Linked DNA regions of Arabidopsis thaliana. The protein of the gene in region 4 interacts with the protein of the main gene of each other region in a pairwise test. Each region holds a gene or a part of one and is shown on either strand. Other genes may lie near its edges. The genes, in order: AT3G54120, AT3G10260, ATG8F and AT5G07730.

Region 1 (4,168 bases), on a different chromosome or scaffold from region 4:
CATCCTTTTATTGTATATTTACTTTTCCGTCCCTTACATTTTCTTATTTAAATAATCTGTTAACTTGCTTCTTCTTCTTCTTTCTTCATCTTCATCTTCATCTTCGCTTCACAATCTCTTTGAGACTTTTGCATCGGAGCAATAATAATATATTCATCGCAAAATCAGTGAATTTTGATATTCAAATCTTAATCGGCGATGGAACGAACAAGCAACGGAGGAATGTTGTATCACGAGGTTCAAGAGTCAAATCTGTGCGCCGTACACTGCGTCAACACGGTGTTGCAAGGGCCTTTCTTCTCTGAATTCGATTTGGCTGCCGTCGCCGCCGATCTAGACGGGAAGGAGCGTCAGGTTATGCTTGAAGGTGCTGCCGTTGGAGGTTTTGCTCCCGGCGATTTCTTAGCTGAAGAGTCGCACAATGTTTCCCTCGGCGGCGATTTTAGTATCCAGGTACGAATTCGCGATGAAATTGATAAATCTTGAGTTGCATTCAACATTTATATATTGTAAAGCCTTTTTGTTATTGTGTTGTTGGAAGTTTAGGCAAAATTAGGGTTTCGATTTTATGGTGCTTTTGATTGCTGTGTTTATGCTGAAGTGATAAACTTTTGAATGGTTGGATTCGTTTTTAGATAGATTCAAGAAGAATTGAGATCAGTAATGGTGTGAATTTGCGATCTTTACTTTGGGTTAAAACTCATTTGTTGAAGGCTAGTTTCATTGTGCGAACATTGCTATGCTGATAAATGGAGGAACTTGAGATGATTTTTTTTATCTTGGGACTCAATTGTTTTGGATATGTTAGTTATTAGTGAGGTTCTGTATATTCAATTATCATCTTTTGTTTCTTGGATAGCTTTAAACCGAGTTGGTTGATAACTTGATATTTGATTAGGTTGCTACAAAAGTCAGGTTTGATTGCAAGATTTATGTATTGAGATTCAAGGGTATAGTATGGTGTTTTACATCACATTTTTAGATATCTAAAATTAAAGCTATTTTAACGGATTACGTTGAAGTTGGATGCGGATAAAACACTGCAAACAGAGGGTTTATGCGATTGGTGTAGCATTTTAATCTTGCAAAGTTGATCTAGTCTTTGCTTATTCGTTTAACTGAGAATGCTTCTGTTTGATTGACAGGTCTTGCAAAAAGCTTTGGAAGTGTGGGATCTACAAGTAATTCCACTCAATTGTCCAGATGCAGAGCCTGCGCAGATAGACCCTGAGCTTGAAAGCGCCTTTATCTGCCACTTGCATGACCATTGGTTTTGTATAAGGAAAGTGAATGGCGAATGGTATAACTTTGATAGTCTCCTTGCTGCCCCGCAACATTTATCGAAGTTCTACCTTTCTGCGTTCTTAGACTCTCTCAAAGGCGCAGGATGGAGTATCTTCATAGTGAAAGGAAACTTCCCTCAGGAATGTCCCATGTCGTCTTCTTCTGAAGCTTCCAATAGTTTCGGGCAGTGGCTTTCTCCTGAAGACGCAGAGAGAATAAGAAAGAACACGAGCTCAGGTTCTTCTGCCAGAAACAAGAGAAGTAATGACAATGTTAATCAACAAAGACGGAATCAGGCATTGTCACGTGAGGAAGTGCAGGCTTTTTCAGAGATGGAAGATGATGACTTGAAGGCAGCAATTGCAGCAAGTTTGCTTGATGCTTCTGCTGCTGAGGCCAATCTCGGAGCTGTGGGCACTTCTGAAAAGGAAACTGAGAAACAAAAGTAGCAGAGAAAATAGAGAACAAGTGTTATTGATGGAGGTGGTGGGATATTCACTTTTGTTTCTTTGTTTTGGTTTGTTATCAAGAGTTATCAACAATTTTACATACAGAACAGAGAAAGAAAAAAGCTTACATCGAAAGATAGAAAACAGAGGATAATAAATGGTTTGTGGAATTGTTTTTGTTTGATTTTTTTACCATATTAAATTCTTCTGACAATCTTAAATTGAGGATAAAGATTCGACCTTTTCGAATTCATAGGAAACTACATCTGAAAAGGGTACATAAATTACTTCAGTTGACTAAAAGTAGATGAATGACCAATTTAAATGTGTTCTATGGAAAATATAAAAGGATGGTGTAAAATTTGATTCATCTCTAAGTACAATCTGGCGAACTTTTACAGTTTGAAAAAAACAAGAAGGATAACACTTTTAGGCTGGAAATAAAAACATCGAGAGGACAACAAACACCTTCTTTTTCCCTAAACAGAGCATAGCCTTTGAATTATTAATTAATTATTTGTATATTCAAAGTTGATGGCTTTGATGATGATGGTGATGACCCAACTTTAGTCTCTTCTTCACTTTTTATTTTTACTTTCTTTGTGATACATCAGGTTCCTTCGATTCGAGCCTTTAGGATTTCCTTTCACATAATGATCTGTTTCTGACATTCAGAGAAAGATATACATATCTGGGTTACTTTTGGGATCTGATCATCTGAGGAAATCTGAATCCAAGTTTGCTCTGATCTTTCTTCTCAAATGAGTTCTTCTTCGGACAAGTTGTTCAACAGAGACAGGACAATACATGAGATTCTGGGAGGAGGCATTGGTTAGTGAATACATTTCTTTACCAAATCCAAAACTTATAAAAGCTAGGTGATCTCTCACCTCTATAGCCTTTTTTTTTTCTTGTTATGAAATGAATCTGCAGTTGCAGATGTGATGCTGTGGAGGAAGAAGAATGTGAGTGTTGGTATAGTTACAGTGACAATAGCTTCATGGATGGTGTTTGAGGCATTTGCTTACACTATCTTTACTCTTATTTCAAGTGTTCTTCTTCTCTTGCTCTCTATTCTCTTCCTCTGGTCCAAATCTGCTTCCATTCTCAACAGGTATATTAATATTCACTTGTAACTAATATTACTTCATTTCTGATTCAATTTCTTGGCTCTTCAGGCCATCACCGCCGTTACCGGAGTTTCAAATAAGTGAAGCGATGGCGGAAGAAGCTTCGATATGGTTACGTATTCATGTGAACAAGCTACTCCAAGTTTCGCATGACATTGCAATGGCAAGAGACTCAGAGTTGTATACCAAAGTAGCAGTGTCACTGTTTCTTCTCTCATTGATCGGAAGTCTCATGGATTTTCAGACACTTTGCCACACCAGTAAGTAGATATTCTAAAACTCCTATAGACTTGGAATGCTTTTGAGCTGGATATTCATTTTGTGGTTGTTCTTGGTTAATTTGGCAGGCGTTTTGGTGGTTATGACGGTTCCAGCTTTCTATGAGAGATATGAGGATTACATTGTTGGCTCTATTGAGTTTATCTGCAACAAAACTAGAGAGCTTTACCTTAGACTCGAGATATGGGCTAATCCGGAAAATAAGAAACTGAGCTGAGATGCTGTCACCTCTTTCTTCTTCAGGAGTTTCTTTTTCTGATTTTTCTCGGTTTTGTGGAAAGAAAGGAGAAAAATGTATGATTTTTGATAAATGTTGGATGGTACAGCCAATATATGAGCAATCCACAGAAATTTTATTTCACAGTTTTACTCGAAAACTGAATCTCTATTCCGAAAACAATATTCGACCAAGTTCTGGCCTCTCTCAATCACCGAAAATGAAGAAGAAAACAATGTTGCTCTTATTCCCTCTGCTTAAAACTATGTGTCTCAGTTTCTTTTGGACGCATCGAGTTCCCGGACATACTTCTTTGCCTGGATTAGAGTATTAAGAACCCGGATTAGAAAATGAGAAAGAAGACTTTGCGTGACCGATTCGAATGCGATTGCGATAAAATAAAAATTCTATCAGTTGTTACCTGTTCGAGGGTCAAAAACATGATTACGTTCCATGAGCCAAGGCGTCCAAAGTTGGGGATGAAACCCTTGTAAAATGCCATAGGACCCTGTAGAGGAAACCGTAAAGAGTTTGTAACATTTTCTGGGTTATATCTAGAACAATGGAGGTATCAGAAGCAGAGTTGCTTACGTCGCTCTTCAGAGTTTTGACGAAGCAGTCAATGGTGCCCTTGTAAGCACCAGAATCTCCCATCATTCTTGACTTAACCTGCCACACAACAAGATTTAAGTAGACAATCAGGAAACGTGGTGAATAAACTCAAGGTTCAATGTCATGAGTAAATACTTTACCACGTCGACAGGAGAGCCGATGCAGACAGCAAAGAATCCTGCTCCCAGTCCAGATAG
Region 2 (4,738 bases), on a different chromosome or scaffold from region 4:
ATTAAGAGAGGGTACAAGGGAAATCGATTCGAATCTGTACAAGTTCAAAAATTTATATCAAATCATTAGAGGTTTTTATCTCCCACTAATGAAACAAGGTTCTTTCTCTAGGTTTCAAATCCAAAAAAAAACAAAAAAAAACAGAAAAAAACAGAGAATCAGAAATACAAAATAATTCACAAATAAGAACAGATTGAGAATCATCTATTTTACCCCAAACTAAACCTCAACACTTCGAATCGATTTCGTCTTCAAATACAACCGGATCACATCAAATCAACAACAATAACAAAAAAAAAAAAGAACATCAAAACGATCAAGAAAACAAATTCGATTAGCTTAAGAAACACAAATTTCATAAGCAAAAGAGCACCTTTAATCGGAGAAGATTCGAGAGAGAAAGAGGTGGAGATGGAACCTAACCTCACTTTGTTGATCGATCGTGGATCAATTTCTTTACTCCATTTTCTTTGATTTACTTCTTTTTATATTTCTTTCTTTTAAATTTTTTAATTTTAACATTCAGGCTTCGAAGCTCAGGAAGCTGACACGTGTAAAATGTTTGACAATGGTGGATCCCATACCTGTAGAGTTATCTGATCTTCTTATTAGCCAGCCGGTCAATATTAGTCAACGATTCTTACGAAATAAGAAAACCATACTTTTGATTTGTGAAATAATTTTGATTCAAACTTGTTTTAAGTCTTACATTTTTAGACATTGAGTTAATGAACTCTCAATCTACTTGTATAATTTTGACAGATATGATGATTCTCTTATTAACCAAGGTATTGACAAATACATGGACAAGGTATTGTTTAGTAAGGAAATACACAAAATCTACATGAATGAATAATATTCTCAAAACATTCATTTAGCAAACCATAATCCATATTGTTCTAACAACAAACAAGGTAAAATAAGAAAATGCTTGAGTGATTTAGTCACTCACGCTTCTTTAATCCAAACTTTCCACTTGGGATTCTACTGAGAAACCCAGTATCAAGCTTCTTGTAATGACTATGAAACTTCATGATCATAGAATCCATAAAACCATCCACTTCGTCTTCGTATCTCTCATACAGAACCGGCATTGTGTGTGCCCCAACAAACCCTTCACACACACACATAAAATGCATCCCTTTAAAGTCTTGTATTACTCAACTTCCAATCTCAAAAGAGGATACACTAATAAGAACCACTCACCGATATACAAAACAGTTAGGAAATTGCAACAGCTCCCGACCATTGCAGCTACCCATAGTCCGATTACAGCCTGAAAAATGATATTGTGATCAAAGTTTCTATCTTAGCATAGTAATGAAAGTGCTAATACATTATACAAACAAGATTGTGGTTATTGAAACAAACAACGCACCATGAGGAACTGTTTCAAATTCCCTTTACAAGCCAAGTCCTGAAGAAACAACAAACCGCGGTTAACTTCTTTTCCAACGGCCACACCGACTTCAGCAAAGAAATCCTTTGGAAGAACTAGGCGAGGCACTCTAGACTGTGAGCTGCTTTGAGACATTAAAGGACATTGTGTTAGATTGCAATCACAAGGTACCAATAATAATGACAACAACACTCCAACAAGTTACCGGTTTAAGAATCCAGAGGCGTTAGACCAAACGAATTGTGCAATCATACCAAGCAAGAGGGCATAGCAAACGAGAGACAGGAAATGGAAATTGATCCATTCAAAAAGCACCCAAATTGCGGTAGCTCCCATCAAAACACTTGCAGAGATCTTCTTGTTCCTCCATAACAACACATCAGCAGCTGAAGGAATCTCTCAATACTCAATTACAAGAAAAACCAATCTCATATTTATGTTCCTGTATACGAATTCTTACATTTGCCACCGCCTAAGACATGATGAATTGGCTTCTGGCGATCAAACAAACGGTTGAAACGAGAACTGACGGAATCTTCTTGTTCGAAGAAGGAGGAACCATGTTTGTTCTTCTGAACAGTCTCCGTGAAGTTATCCACCAAATCACCGATAACGTCCTCTACGATGTTCTTGTCAGGCATGATTCTGAAACACAATCGAAATCTGAGATTGCTCAATTTGCAGATGAAAGTTGACTTCATAAAAAATTGAATCTTTTGATCAGTTCTTCATACCCTAAACCCAAAACCATTTCGAGTAATCAAATTTGGTCTTAACAGTTCGTTGGTGATAATTACAATGATATAAAACTTAGATCTTAGTATATTTGGCGAGAAGACAAGAACAACAAAAAGACCAGAAATTGAAGAGCAAGAACGAGACAAAGATGAAGATGAGTAAGAGTAAACCTGTAGGAACTGGAGAAGAAGAAGAAGAAGAAAAACCTTGGTTGTTCTGTGAATTTCACCCAAAAAAAGTTGCTTTCTTTCGTTGAAGATTCTCTCAATCACGAAGAAAGATGGAGGGCGGAAGTGAAACAAGAGATGGGATTGGTTGTGTCGAATAATTGAATTACAAAAAAATGTTTTTTTCAAAATGTGGGCAAATGTTGGAGTAGTGTGTAGTAATAATGGATAGGACTTGTCTTCCCACGTGTAGCTCATGACAATAAACAAATTATTTTTTAAGAAGTATTATTGGACGCCAAAAAAAGAGTTGAAACGTATCGTTTGTATTTGCAAGACAAACAAAAAGAAGTTTTCTGAGTAGATTTATCAACCGTTACAAGCCTTGTTGAAAATAAAAAAATTTCATTTATTCAATGAATTAAAGTCACACTAATATGGTTGACTGGTTGTTACATGCGTGATGCGTTCATAACACTGCTTTAGGTTGTTCAGGAAGAACAAAAATCATGTTTAATTCACTATATACCTACCAAATCGAAAAATAAACTTGTTAATTATCGATCACTCTGCGATCGCTAGTAAAACATCAGTCAAAACTTAACCTCGAATACAATTAAAATCAATACAACAGGCAGAGAAGATATTCATTGCACAATAGTTACCTTCTCATCTTCCTTCTAATCATTAGTTTTAACTTCGTCGCATGCATGATTTTCAGGAATGCCAAATTGTTGAAGTCATAATATATAGTAAATACCTAGTGAATGCAAATTTCTCTTGTCTCTAGAAAAATTCTAGTTCCAATGGAAAGAAACGCCCAACAAAGAGCCTTGTGAATTGCTAAATTTTGACATTGAAAGAGATAATCCTAACAATGAATTTTGTCCTTTATAGGCCAGAAGAAGAACAAAATCCTGTTGGCCTGTGACTATATGATTTAACCTTGAAATGATGATGTCTCCCTTTGCATTTCACCAGAGTCGTTTCTTTGTTGTTTGTATATAGCTGAAGCAATAACTATAAGCTGTGTTATATGTCGAGATTCTCCAGATTCATCCTAGTCGCAGCACTTTTGATGAGTTCCTTCCTGACATCGACCTGAAACATACACAGAACATAACATTGTCACGATGAGTTATGCCAGTTTATTGACTATTATCATGAGTCCGAGTCTGGCAATTCATTGGCTTACCCGAGCACCCATCAGAGATGAGAAGACCATATTCGTTTCTGCTGCGTCGTCAACAACTAGTTGCTTCAATATCCTTGTATCTGGATTCATCGTTGTTTCCCATAGCTGCGCAGGCATCATCTCACCCAAACCTGCAGATGCAAAAGCAAGAAACATTACATAGAATCCAATAGTTGAGACTAATCTAGATTTCGTTATGCACACACTCAAGAGTATCTTAATAGCTAACACATAACAACTACTATACATTACTTTTCATAGTTATTTATCCTTTCCAAAAGAACACATTCATGATGTGAGAAGTAGGATGTTTTACCTTTGAACCTCTGAATGTTGTAGGATGCGTTTCCAGGGAACGAAGCAGTGATTTTTTTAAGAGCTGCATCATCGTAGCAGTAGTGCGCCTGTTTCCCCCTCTCAACCTGATCGTTTTCACAGAGAGACTAGCTTTAGAAAAAAATTCCGTTCAATCTGAAGCATAAGATTATAGATACTAAGAGCTTACCTTGAAAAGAGGTGGAACACCAACGTATATGCAACCCGCGTCAAACAAGGCTCTCTGTAGAAAGTAAATTTCATTAAATTTCACATAACTCAATCAGCAATCAAGGCTACTTCAACTAATGTTTTATCAAACTAAACTAGTACCTGATATCTGAAGAAAAAGGTCAACAGAAGTGTCCGGATATGTGCACCATCAACATCTGCATCTGTTAAGATGATAATTTTATGGTAACGCAGATTCTCCTTGTTAAAATCTTCTCCCTGAAATAAGTTTTATGTCAAACTGAGTTTTCCGAACATACCAACAAACAGCAGGATATGAAAAAGGATATATTACCTTAACTCCAAGACCAAGGCCAAGAATAAGATTTTGAATTTCTTCGTTCTTATACATTGCTGCTTCATCCTTTCTCTCAATATTCAAAATTTTGCCTCTCAAAGGAAGAATTGCCTGCATAGATCGAAATACAGTGTTACAGACTAACAAAATAGAAGCAGAGCCTGTTAGTGACACGCTGAGCAGAATGATTTTTTTTACCTGGAAACGCCTGTCACGACCCTGTTTCGCGCTGCCACCAGCCGAATCTCCTTCGACAATGAAAATCTCTGGTAGCATAGGAGATAGATGTCAATAAACTGACTAACTTTCACAGCTTACAAGGCACTTTCATATTGGTTAATGCATACCAGATTCTGCAGGATCTGTAGATGAGCAATCTGCAAGTTTCCCAGGAA
Region 3 (5,053 bases), on a different chromosome or scaffold from region 4:
CTCGGTTTAGTTTCTGTATTTAAGATCTCTTGTACATTCAAAGCTTAATGAAGAATTTTCACAATTCTGTTTCTCAAATGTTGAAAATCTTTTATGCAATACCCATAAGAAACAGAGTAATTAATAGGAAGCACCTTGTTTGTTGTATACGAGGAGAAATAGAGAACAAAGAAGTTGGTCATGAATATATATAGAGATAGCACAAGAGTCATTACAACCACCAACATGGTGAATGCATATGCATATAACAGTATGATATATTTAGAGAGACTGGTATATATGGATCGGGTAATTAAGACTTCTCGTTGTGGATCGGAGGCTTACGATGAGGCTGAGGATAATCCATGACTACTACTTCTTCCCCTGTCTCGACTCCACCCAACGCCCGCCTCCTTTCTCCACCATTGAAGACGTCCAAAGAAGCAACCTTGTGATGATGATGCTTATGTGACCTTAAACGACGAGCGGCAGAGGCACATCCAACATTGGAAGACAAAAGCAGAAGAATGAAACAGAACACTATCACGAGTCCACTCCTCAAAGAGCAAGACATGACTTCTCTTATTCTTCTTCTTGTTCTTGAGATACTTGTGTATATATGCTGTGTCTGTATACAGGGAGATGAGACTAGAGCAGGACAAAGAAAGTTTGAAATGTTGTTAATTGGTGTAAGAGAAGAGAAGAGGGAAGGAGAGTATTTGTAGGCAGAAGAGAGTAAAGAGAGTAAGACAAGCATTAAATACAGGTGGGGGGAGGGGTCCTTCATTATCATAACATGCTCTTGTTCCTCTTCTCTTTTATTTCTTTTTAATCTTCTCTCTTGTCTATTATTCAAATATATTTTACATTCAACATACATATCTATCGTATGTATATGGGTGTCTTGATCGGCCAAACCTTTTGTCTACTTGAGAGTCTTCGTGGGGTCATCATCTCCTGCATTCTCATTTTCCTTTCTTCCATTTGCTCACCTTATTCTCCGGTTCTTCACCTTTTTCATCCACGCCATTATTGTATGACCGACGTGTTTACTCTCTTAAGTCCTAATCGATCACCTTCTTATCACTACACTATTTGACATTGATTTCTTTGGACAAAACACTCACAAGTTATGAAAAGCTTTTACATTCAACTTTCACTTCAATGGTCCAAAATCCCAAAAACACAACCGCGTCTCTCATGTTCCACGTGACCGGTTGGAACCTTGAATTACAATCTTTGACGATCATAAATCGAGCTAAAACTGTGAACAAATAAATATATGAAACAAAAATCAATATTGAAAAGTGTAAGATGAGAAACAAGCCAGCATGGTCCGACCGTCTCCTCCTTCTCTCCGTCAACGACAATGTGGGACCTTTATAAGATCGTCGCCGGCCAACCTTCAACCGGTACCGACCATGTCTGCCACGTGGCACAGTTCCCTTGTGCTTGCACTTCTATTGAGTTTGGTGATATAACTTCTCTTCACTTAGGCTTTGCAATTTGGAACTGTCATGGCCCATGTGCCATAAGCGACGTGTTATGTCGGCTTATAGATTGAAGACATCAAAAAAAACACAACAAAGTCAAGAGGGAGATGTGATAGATTCACCTAAAGTAGGTTTTTAGATCCTTGAAAGAAGATTATATACATTATTTTATGTTTTCTGTACATATTAACGCCCGACCAAAGGTCCTTAGAGAATAAGTACATAGGTGGCTTGCTTGCTTAGTAATTAATAAGAAGATGAAATATTTGGTGAAAATAGAGAGGAGTAAAATGAAATATCCAGCAAGAGGTCTCTATTATGGAGATCCAAATCCAAATGTGTTTTCTCCGCTGTAAGTGACATAGAGGAACCCATCATCATCCTTTTTCTCTTCGTACACAGAAGACATGAGCGCACCTGCAAAGTTACCAGATCAGATCAGCCAAATATAAAGAATTTATAATCACCGGGGAACATATAAGTAGACGCCTTCTTATGCTCTTGTTACTTGTGTTAAAAGATAATGAAACTCCTGAGTCTTGAATACAGAGGAGATCTATCTGTTTACCTGCTGGAGGAAGAACATTGTCCACGAATATGAAGATAGCCTTTTCTGCACTCAATTTGATTCTTTTGCGAATGACATACACAAACTGCCCCACAGTCAGATCAGCCGGGACTAGGTACCTGCAAATTTGAAAAAAGCTTAGTTATCAATCACTATTATTAACAAGTCAGGTCCGAATGAAAAGGATACTGATGCCATTTATATGCTTACTTTTTCTTGTCGATGGTTGGTATATCACTCTTCTCAGCCTTCTCAACAATCACCTGGATCCCACAAAAATATAAATGCGTGGAAATCATCATCTCAAGTGTCATTTTTACCATGTGAATCATAAAGCACGTAGCCACATGAATCATGCAAATCTACTTATCTAAGCCGTAAGTACTCAGTAAGAATCGAGTTTCAGAAAGTCACGTTCCAAAAAATGACAACTAAATTCAAAGTCCTAATGTTGTTATAGTCACTATAACTCAATCAACTCCATGTAGTTGAAACAGTGGCAAACATATATCACAAGCATGAAGCTAATCAAACAATAATAACTTGATAACCATCCTTTAGTCGGGTAGGGTGTCCATTTAAAACCAGATGCTATCCCAATAAGTTCATTATATCCCAATAAGTTCATTACTACCATATTGCTGGGCCATAAACCACAACAACTTAACCTGCATAAACTCAGTCAAACACAAAAGATTGATCCGAACATAGAAAGGGAAACAATATGCTAATCACATATAACTTTAGAAATGTATGATCGATCAATGTATAAGAGAGACACTGAAAGTCTCACCGGAATCCTATCAGGATACTTCTCTCTAATCCTAGCAGCCTCTGCCCTTCTCTTCTCTGAAGATTTAGGAAACAGGATCATTAGATCAAAGCACAAGGTTTTGATTTCGAGGACCAAACAGTAAAGCAAGAACAAAGCTCAAATCCAAACCTAAGTCATGCTCTTGCTTGAACGAGCTTTTTGCCATTCCTTCCACGCCTACACACACATAACAAATAGGTGACACCAATCAGACAACCATCAAAACAAATTTAACACTCAAATCAAATCATCAATTCCCAAACTCTGGAACTCAGATTATCAAAATTCCCACAAATCTATCAGTCGATCATGTTAAAGACCCAACCTTTAAGTAATCTAAACGAAAGTACAGGATCGCAATCAAACCAAAAAAGAAGTTAAGAACTCAGTGATCAAACCTGTAGACTACAAAGAACGAAGCTTTTCTGCGATCAAACACTTCTCCAGAGCACAACGCTATCGTTGAAGATAACAACAACAATTAACGAAAAAATATGAAAGAAAAAGCAAATAAGCAACCTACAAAAATTCTGCAAAACATTAAAAAATTATGCGATAAGGTCAGAGATTCTCTACAGATGGTGTATGGTAACATCTAAACACTTCAGCTGACGTTGTATGCTTAATCTGTTCAGTGAGAATCTGACGGTAGATATTAGCTATTTACTGAAATAGGAATCTCAACCGTCCATTTTACTGAAGGTGTACGAGGTAACTGTCTACGTAGATATTGCCTCCAACAAAGGATAAAGAAGAACCGGATATGCTGGGATCACGTTTCTGCATACGATATGACACGTTTACCCCTAGAAAATGTGTGTTAGGTGAAGAGTTCGGAAGGGTAATAGTTGGAAATTGAGAATGTCGCTTATAAGCTTTGCCTCTTCTAACAAAATGTAGGGCCTAGTGCAGTAATGGGCCTTGCAAATAAACGGATGGAAATATGAAAACTAATAAATAAAGTATAGGCAGAAGTTTTTTTATGACTGTTATAGAGATCTGGAGATGTAGGTCTTGGTGTATGGACAGCTTAGGATTTCAAGCTTAGGCATTTCGAAATCAAGGGTTGAAAGCAATTACTGTATTTGAGAATATATCTTCAACACTGCACAAAACTCATTTTGTAATTTATTAAAATACCGGAATTGAGTGATTAATGTCAAAACCGAGAATTTACAGGATAACAAAGATAATTAATCAAAATGAATCTTTTATCAAAGTAAGATAAGTTTTCTAACAAGTTTTTTACTTATAGATATAAAATATTATAGTTGTGAAAAGACATAAACATTTTTAAAAGTTAAGATTGAGTTTTCTGAAGTTGAAAAAAAAATCAAAATTATTTTTTAATCATTATCCAAAATCATTACTTAATCCAAACCGATGCCCACCCTAATTATTTAACTATATTAATAAGGTTTGTAAGCAATAGTATATAAAAAGCTAAAAAAAATATAAGGGTATCTCACTACGTATGACACTTATCAAGTTTGTTAGAGCATATGGGGCACATATGTGGGAGTATGCACTTTTTCATGTTTATTTCACTGCACTTTTTCATGTTTATTTCACTGTTTCAAAACAATCAATACAATTATATCCTTACTCTCGTAACCTCAGGTCAAATAGCATGGTTAAGAAATGCCTTTGACGAATGATTTAGCTGTGCAGCAATATATAGTACTTTGAACTGCTCTAATGGGAGTGGATTGTGGATTTTCCTTTCTTCTGTTTCTTAATCTTGACATTAGATTTCCACTCCACCCCATCTTCGTCTAGTACCTTATAAGTCGTTCCAGCAATGTAGAAGGTGACTTTCTTCTCTTCAAGGTACCTCACAAAACGTTTAGCAAACTCAATGGGTGTTGAATGGCTTTTGTACTTTGATAAAAGACTCACAGCAATCTCCTAGTTAGGCTTGAAAATCAAAGTCTTGACAACTCGTTATGCCTCATCAATCACTTTTCCTCTAGCCAAGCCGTCTAAATATGTCCCCATTATTTCAATAGTTGGTTCTATCCATAGAGTCTTGACTATCCTTGCAAGAAGATAATGCCCATACTCAGTTTGTCGAGCATGTGTACAAGTTACCATCACGTTCCAAAATGTTGAGTGAGTTTTGATCAAGGTGGAAGGAATGTTCTCAAAGACTTGGATTGCTTTGAAGCATTCACTATTTGTGCCTAAGGTTGATATAAA
Region 4 (4,395 bases):
ATCCCGGTTTGGGAGATGAAAGATGGCCTTTTATTACTCACTTTGTTGGATGCAAACCGTGTGGGAGTTATGCTGATTACGCGGTTGAACGTTGCTTGAAGAGTATGGAGCGAGCATTCAACTTTGCGGATAATCAAGTGCTCAAACTGTATGGGTTTGGTCACAGGGGATTGTTAAGTCCTAAGATCAAGAGGATCAGAAACGAGACAACATTTCCATTGAAATTCGTAGACAGGTTTGATATTCGGAGAACAACACCGCTCAAGATTGAAGCACGAAGCTAGCAGCTGATGAACCAGTTTCAGTTTGGTAAAGCACAATCAGTTCCTACTTAACTGAACAAAATGCTACATTGTTTCAAAGCTCACTTCTCTTTCTTATATTTTTACCCAATATATAAAGTCAATATATTCTTTTGTTAAACTTGAACAGAAGATGAATTATCAATTTGTTCAAGTACCTTTCAATGCAAAGATCTAGTTTTGCAGAATCCTAAGTATGAAGTGAAGTAACTCTGACTCGTAACAATGGGAAAATTTACATCTTTATCTCAATTGAGAGATTAAAATGGAAGAATTTTACAGAAAGAGAGTGGCTTGCGAAATAATATAAACAAGAAACAAAAGAATCAATAAGCTAAAATGGTTTGAATTTGTGATGGATCATCTTCTTCTTGATACAATGTCCTTGTGGTGCTTTAACAGTAACTCATTCATTTGAGCAAGTTGATGCAAAAGCTGAACTATCCTCTGTTTCAAAATCAGAAAACAATAGTAATGTCACGTCTCTTAGGCATTTCATCAAACACTTTGTATGCACAAAAACATACCTCGTCTCTCTCTTTGATCACATCTCGAAGATGATCCATGTTTTCTCCTTTAACGCGTTTCCGAGGAGCTCGTACACGCATCCACCACCAAATCGCAATGGCAAGAACTGGATAAAATGATCGGATAGTCTTTGAGAACCAGGTCAACAAATTCTTCAACTTGGAGTATAAACGTACAAGAAGAGGCTCCCACCAATCGTGGAGGACATCAACTTCACGATTCAATGGTTTCCCCAGTAATTTCCCATCTGAATCGCATGGTGGAGACTTGCCGCCTTGTTCAGAAGGTAATCGCGGAGATATCTGTTCAAATGGCGACTGTTCCCCCGAATCGGACGGTGGAGATTCACCGCTTAACAACAACGGCAGAGATTTTTCTTCAGTTTCCGACGGAGCCTTCCGGTCAAATTCAAACGCAGTCAGTGACGTTTGTCCATCTGAATCAGAAGGAAACAACGAAAAAGAAGAAGATGAACCAGAGCGTCTCGACGAAGATGACGGAGACGAGGATTCCGACGGAGATTCGAGGTATCTATCGACTCCATAGACGGAAGAAGCGACATGGAGATTCTCATGGTAGATCGGCGGGAACACAACGCCATCGTCCTTGGCGAAAATTGGCGATTCTCTGATGACAACCATTGACGAACTGTGATCCAATGGACCAATCAGGTGTTGTTCACAATAATGATCTTCATCTTCAGCCATCTTCAGTTGGATTTGCTGGAGGAATTATCTCGCTAGGGTTTGCTTGTGAGAAAGAAACAGTTGGAGGAAGAAGAAGAAGGACAAATCCATGAAAGTTTCAAACTTTTGGGATCCAAGAAGAACACGTGATTGTTGCTTTTCGCTGATTCGTTTAAGAAAATCTGGTCATACACACGTGCCATCTCATTTTCTCGCGCAATTTTCTTTTGTATTAATTAGTTTATCACACGTGCCGTCTCATTGTCTGAACTGAATCCTAAAAAGAACATTGATGTTAAGGTATACAAAGTTACACACTAAATAGACAAAATGCTCTACATCTCTCACTCTCTCTACCTGAAACCTATACAACATTCCAATCTATCAAAAATTCCTCTAATCAGGAAATAAAAAACAGGAAAGAATTCTAATTTACAAGTTAGAATTAAATCAATGTGGAGTCAATCATGTTAAACGTGAGTGGCGAAAAGACCTGTCTCTTAATCTTTCGATGGTTCCTCGATAGCCCCCGCCAGGCGAAACCGCTCCCCATAGGACCCGAGCCTGTTTTTTTAACCGCACTAAGCATCCAATGCCGCTTTGCGGAAAGGTTTACTTGAACAGCACCACCGCCTCTTTGCTGGCTTACAAGACTAGCTCAGTTCTCTTGAGAGGTTGAGGCGGAATTTGCAAATTGATACTTAAGTTTTTCGTCAGCTATCATCAACTGGTTTCTTTGTGAGGTTGACTCCTTTTGCCTTCTCCATTTCCGCTTCCTTAAGAGCTTTCTTCTTCTCTAGCTCCGCTTGCTTGACATTCTCTTCGTGTGCTTTCTTAAACAACCTTATAAAATTCAAGAGGGTTGCAGTAACTGCAGCAGTCCATTACCCGGTATTATTATTAGCTACATAACACTTCCAACTAAATAACGATTAGGGACTTTTTCTTTTTCTATGTATTGCCCAAGAGGATTTAAGTTTATAGATTCCTCGTCATACCTTGTTCAAATGGACAACGGTTAGGATCCTCGCCAAAATAGTGAGCAAGAGCATCAGCATTTCTTCCCTGCCGTCCAACATAAGAAACAACACAAAAATCATTTTCAGGATCAACCACATTGTCAAGGTAAAGGCGCTTGGAATCTAGTAGAGGTTGACAAATTACCACGACCGAGTAAAGACTCGATACAGTTGCCACTTCAGTCTCAGCAACGGATATGAAGTCCCCCAATGTCTGTTATCAAAGCATAAAAGTAGGTTTTAGGATCAGGAAGAAATTAACTCTATAAACAAAACCCAACTGAAGAATTATTTTCCAGCGGGTTATTGATGATTTTAAAAGTGATACAGATTTAGTAATGTGGCACAATCATGGAACTAATCTCAATTTCATGATAGATAAGATGTGCAAAAGGAAAATTAAAAAACCCAACATACTTTACGGAAAACATCAGAAACAGGACCATCACTTTCGGATGCAGTGAGCTCCTGGTTCAGTTTTTCCAATCCTTTGATTATAGCTTGCATTTCCTCAGCCAGAGACTTCAATTGTATCTGCAATAGACAGGACGATCAAATGATGAGCCAATAGAAACTAAGGAGTAGAGGACGAGAAATGAACAACTGCAAACCTTCGAGGCTGATTCAAGACTTTCAAGATCCTTGGGGAAGTCCAGTAGAACTGATGCCTTTGAAGCAAGGACCTGGAAAAAGAAAGATGAGAGTTTCAGAATTATGTATCTCTCCTGATCCAGACCACTTTTTATAATAACCTTCATCAGAAACTAGATCCTGCTCTTTTTGATTGTCATTTACCTTGCAAAGATAATGCATGAGAGTCATCTTGCTGTTAGCAGCACGTGTATCACTTAATTTCGATAAACTGTCCAACTTGAATCCAACAGCAGCGCCTGCAGAAAGCAAAGCAAGGATCATATCAACCACAAAGGTTATCCGTACAGACAAAACAACTAGCAATGTCTTGTGCAAAAAGATGTAGAACAAGAATAACATAAATAATACTTACCCCTTGCAGTTCCTTGGTTCAATGTGTTCCCCAGGTAAAGAATCTTTTTCATAATTTCTTTTAGCTTTTGTGAAGAGCGGACCTGATGAATAAGCAATAAGTAGAAAATTCTAACAAAGAGAAATGCATATGGACTGCCCAAAAACTAGAGTTAACTATTGCAAGCATCTTACCTCCTCGCACGCAGAATTTACAGCATTTAAACTTTTTTTGAATTCTGTTATCTGCACAAAAAACATCATTATCAATAGTCTAATAAAATTATATTTTGTCCTCCAAAGAATCAAATAGACAGAAAATAACGGTATTAAGTAATTCCACCAGACCTGAGTGCCGAATTGAAATTTAAAAGAAAAGACTCTAAGCTTTGCCTCAACTCGTGGCACCTTCATTAGCTCTAGGAAGTACTGCAATAGCAAAATGGATGACAAAAAATGTATTAACTCAGTAAGCTAATTGCTAACCATTTTATAGTAGAAGCCAAAAACAGTGCGAGATTGGTTGGTAATCTGAAGACTTAAACAGACCTGCTCACACTTTCCCAAGGTCGTCTTGTCACCAGTGTAGTTCTAGAACAAACCAGACAATTACGACCAAGAACAAGGACTCATGTCAATAACAAGTGAATAATGATAACCAATAATTGACATATTTCACAAATGATCTCCAAAGTAAAGACAGAAATAGATAATGCTACTCAAAAGTCAAGACGTAACCTTAAGTAGCTCCATCTCCTCCTTGGTTGGGCAAAACTTTATAAGATTCTCTATTTGATCAACATCTAGTACAGACTCATCCATTGCCAGAACTGCAGCCTGGACGATGCAAAGAAAAATTTGAATAATTATCATCAA

Evidence for each region.
Region 1: the proteins of AT5G07730 (region 4) and AT3G54120 interact in a two-hybrid assay, tested with the Arabidopsis thaliana proteins (one large-scale study listed by BioGRID).
Region 2: the proteins of AT5G07730 (region 4) and AT3G10260 interact in a two-hybrid assay, tested with the Arabidopsis thaliana proteins (one large-scale study listed by BioGRID).
Region 3: the proteins of AT5G07730 (region 4) and ATG8F interact in a two-hybrid assay, tested with the Arabidopsis thaliana proteins (one large-scale study listed by BioGRID).

What each region holds. Positions count from the first base shown.
Region 1 is NC_003074.8:20,040,460-20,044,627, reverse strand, and holds AT3G54120 (Reticulon family protein), read left to right. Parts: upstream 1-2,287; 5' UTR 2,288-2,494; coding exon 2,495-2,564; intron 2,565-2,666; coding exon 2,667-2,847; intron 2,848-2,911; coding exon 2,912-3,123; intron 3,124-3,210; coding exon 3,211-3,359; 3' UTR 3,360-3,502; downstream 3,503-4,168. Other genes in the region: AT3G54130 (Josephin family protein), read left to right, coding at 199-453, 1,146-1,733; PUMP1 (plant uncoupling mitochondrial protein 1), read right to left, coding at 3,632-3,676, 3,781-3,867, 3,951-4,028, 4,112-4,168.
Region 2 is NC_003074.8:3,170,469-3,175,206, forward strand, and holds AT3G10260 (Reticulon family protein), read right to left. Parts: upstream 2,525-4,738; 5' UTR 2,101-2,524; coding exon 1,860-2,100; intron 1,786-1,859; coding exon 1,605-1,785; intron 1,521-1,604; coding exon 1,379-1,520; intron 1,277-1,378; coding exon 1,207-1,276; intron 1,115-1,206; coding exon 945-1,114; 3' UTR 754-944; downstream 1-753. Other genes in the region: GYRB1 (DNA gyrase subunit B), read right to left, coding at 3,337-3,405, 3,500-3,630, 3,816-3,921, 4,005-4,058, 4,148-4,264, 4,341-4,454, 4,542-4,609, 4,691-4,738.
Region 3 is NC_003075.7:9,305,094-9,310,146, forward strand, and holds ATG8F (Ubiquitin-like superfamily protein), read right to left. Parts: upstream 3,446-5,053; 5' UTR 3,253-3,445; exon of another isoform or gene 3,032-3,252; 5' UTR 3,021-3,031; coding exon 2,984-3,020; intron 2,890-2,983; coding exon 2,834-2,889; exon of another isoform or gene 2,397-2,833; coding exon of another isoform or gene 2,304-2,396; coding exon 2,251-2,303; intron 2,160-2,250; coding exon 2,041-2,159; intron 1,890-2,040; coding exon 1,789-1,889; 3' UTR 1,246-1,788; downstream 1-1,245. Other genes in the region: RGF6 (root meristem growth factor), read right to left, coding at 293-736. UniProt on the Arabidopsis thaliana protein: Ubiquitin-like modifier involved in autophagosomes formation. May mediate the delivery of the autophagosomes to the vacuole via the microtubule cytoskeleton.
Region 4 is NC_003076.8:2,456,847-2,461,241, forward strand, and holds AT5G07730 (uncharacterized protein), read right to left. Parts: upstream 1,657-4,395; 5' UTR 1,538-1,656; coding exon 830-1,537; intron 750-829; coding exon 663-749; 3' UTR 501-662; downstream 1-500. Other genes in the region: XXT3 (Galactosyl transferase GMA12/MNN10 family protein), read left to right, coding at 1-284; AT5G07740 (actin binding protein), read right to left, coding at 2,230-2,387, 2,515-2,581, 2,681-2,749, 2,953-3,069, 3,147-3,218, 3,331-3,425, 3,542-3,623, 3,715-3,948 and 2 more.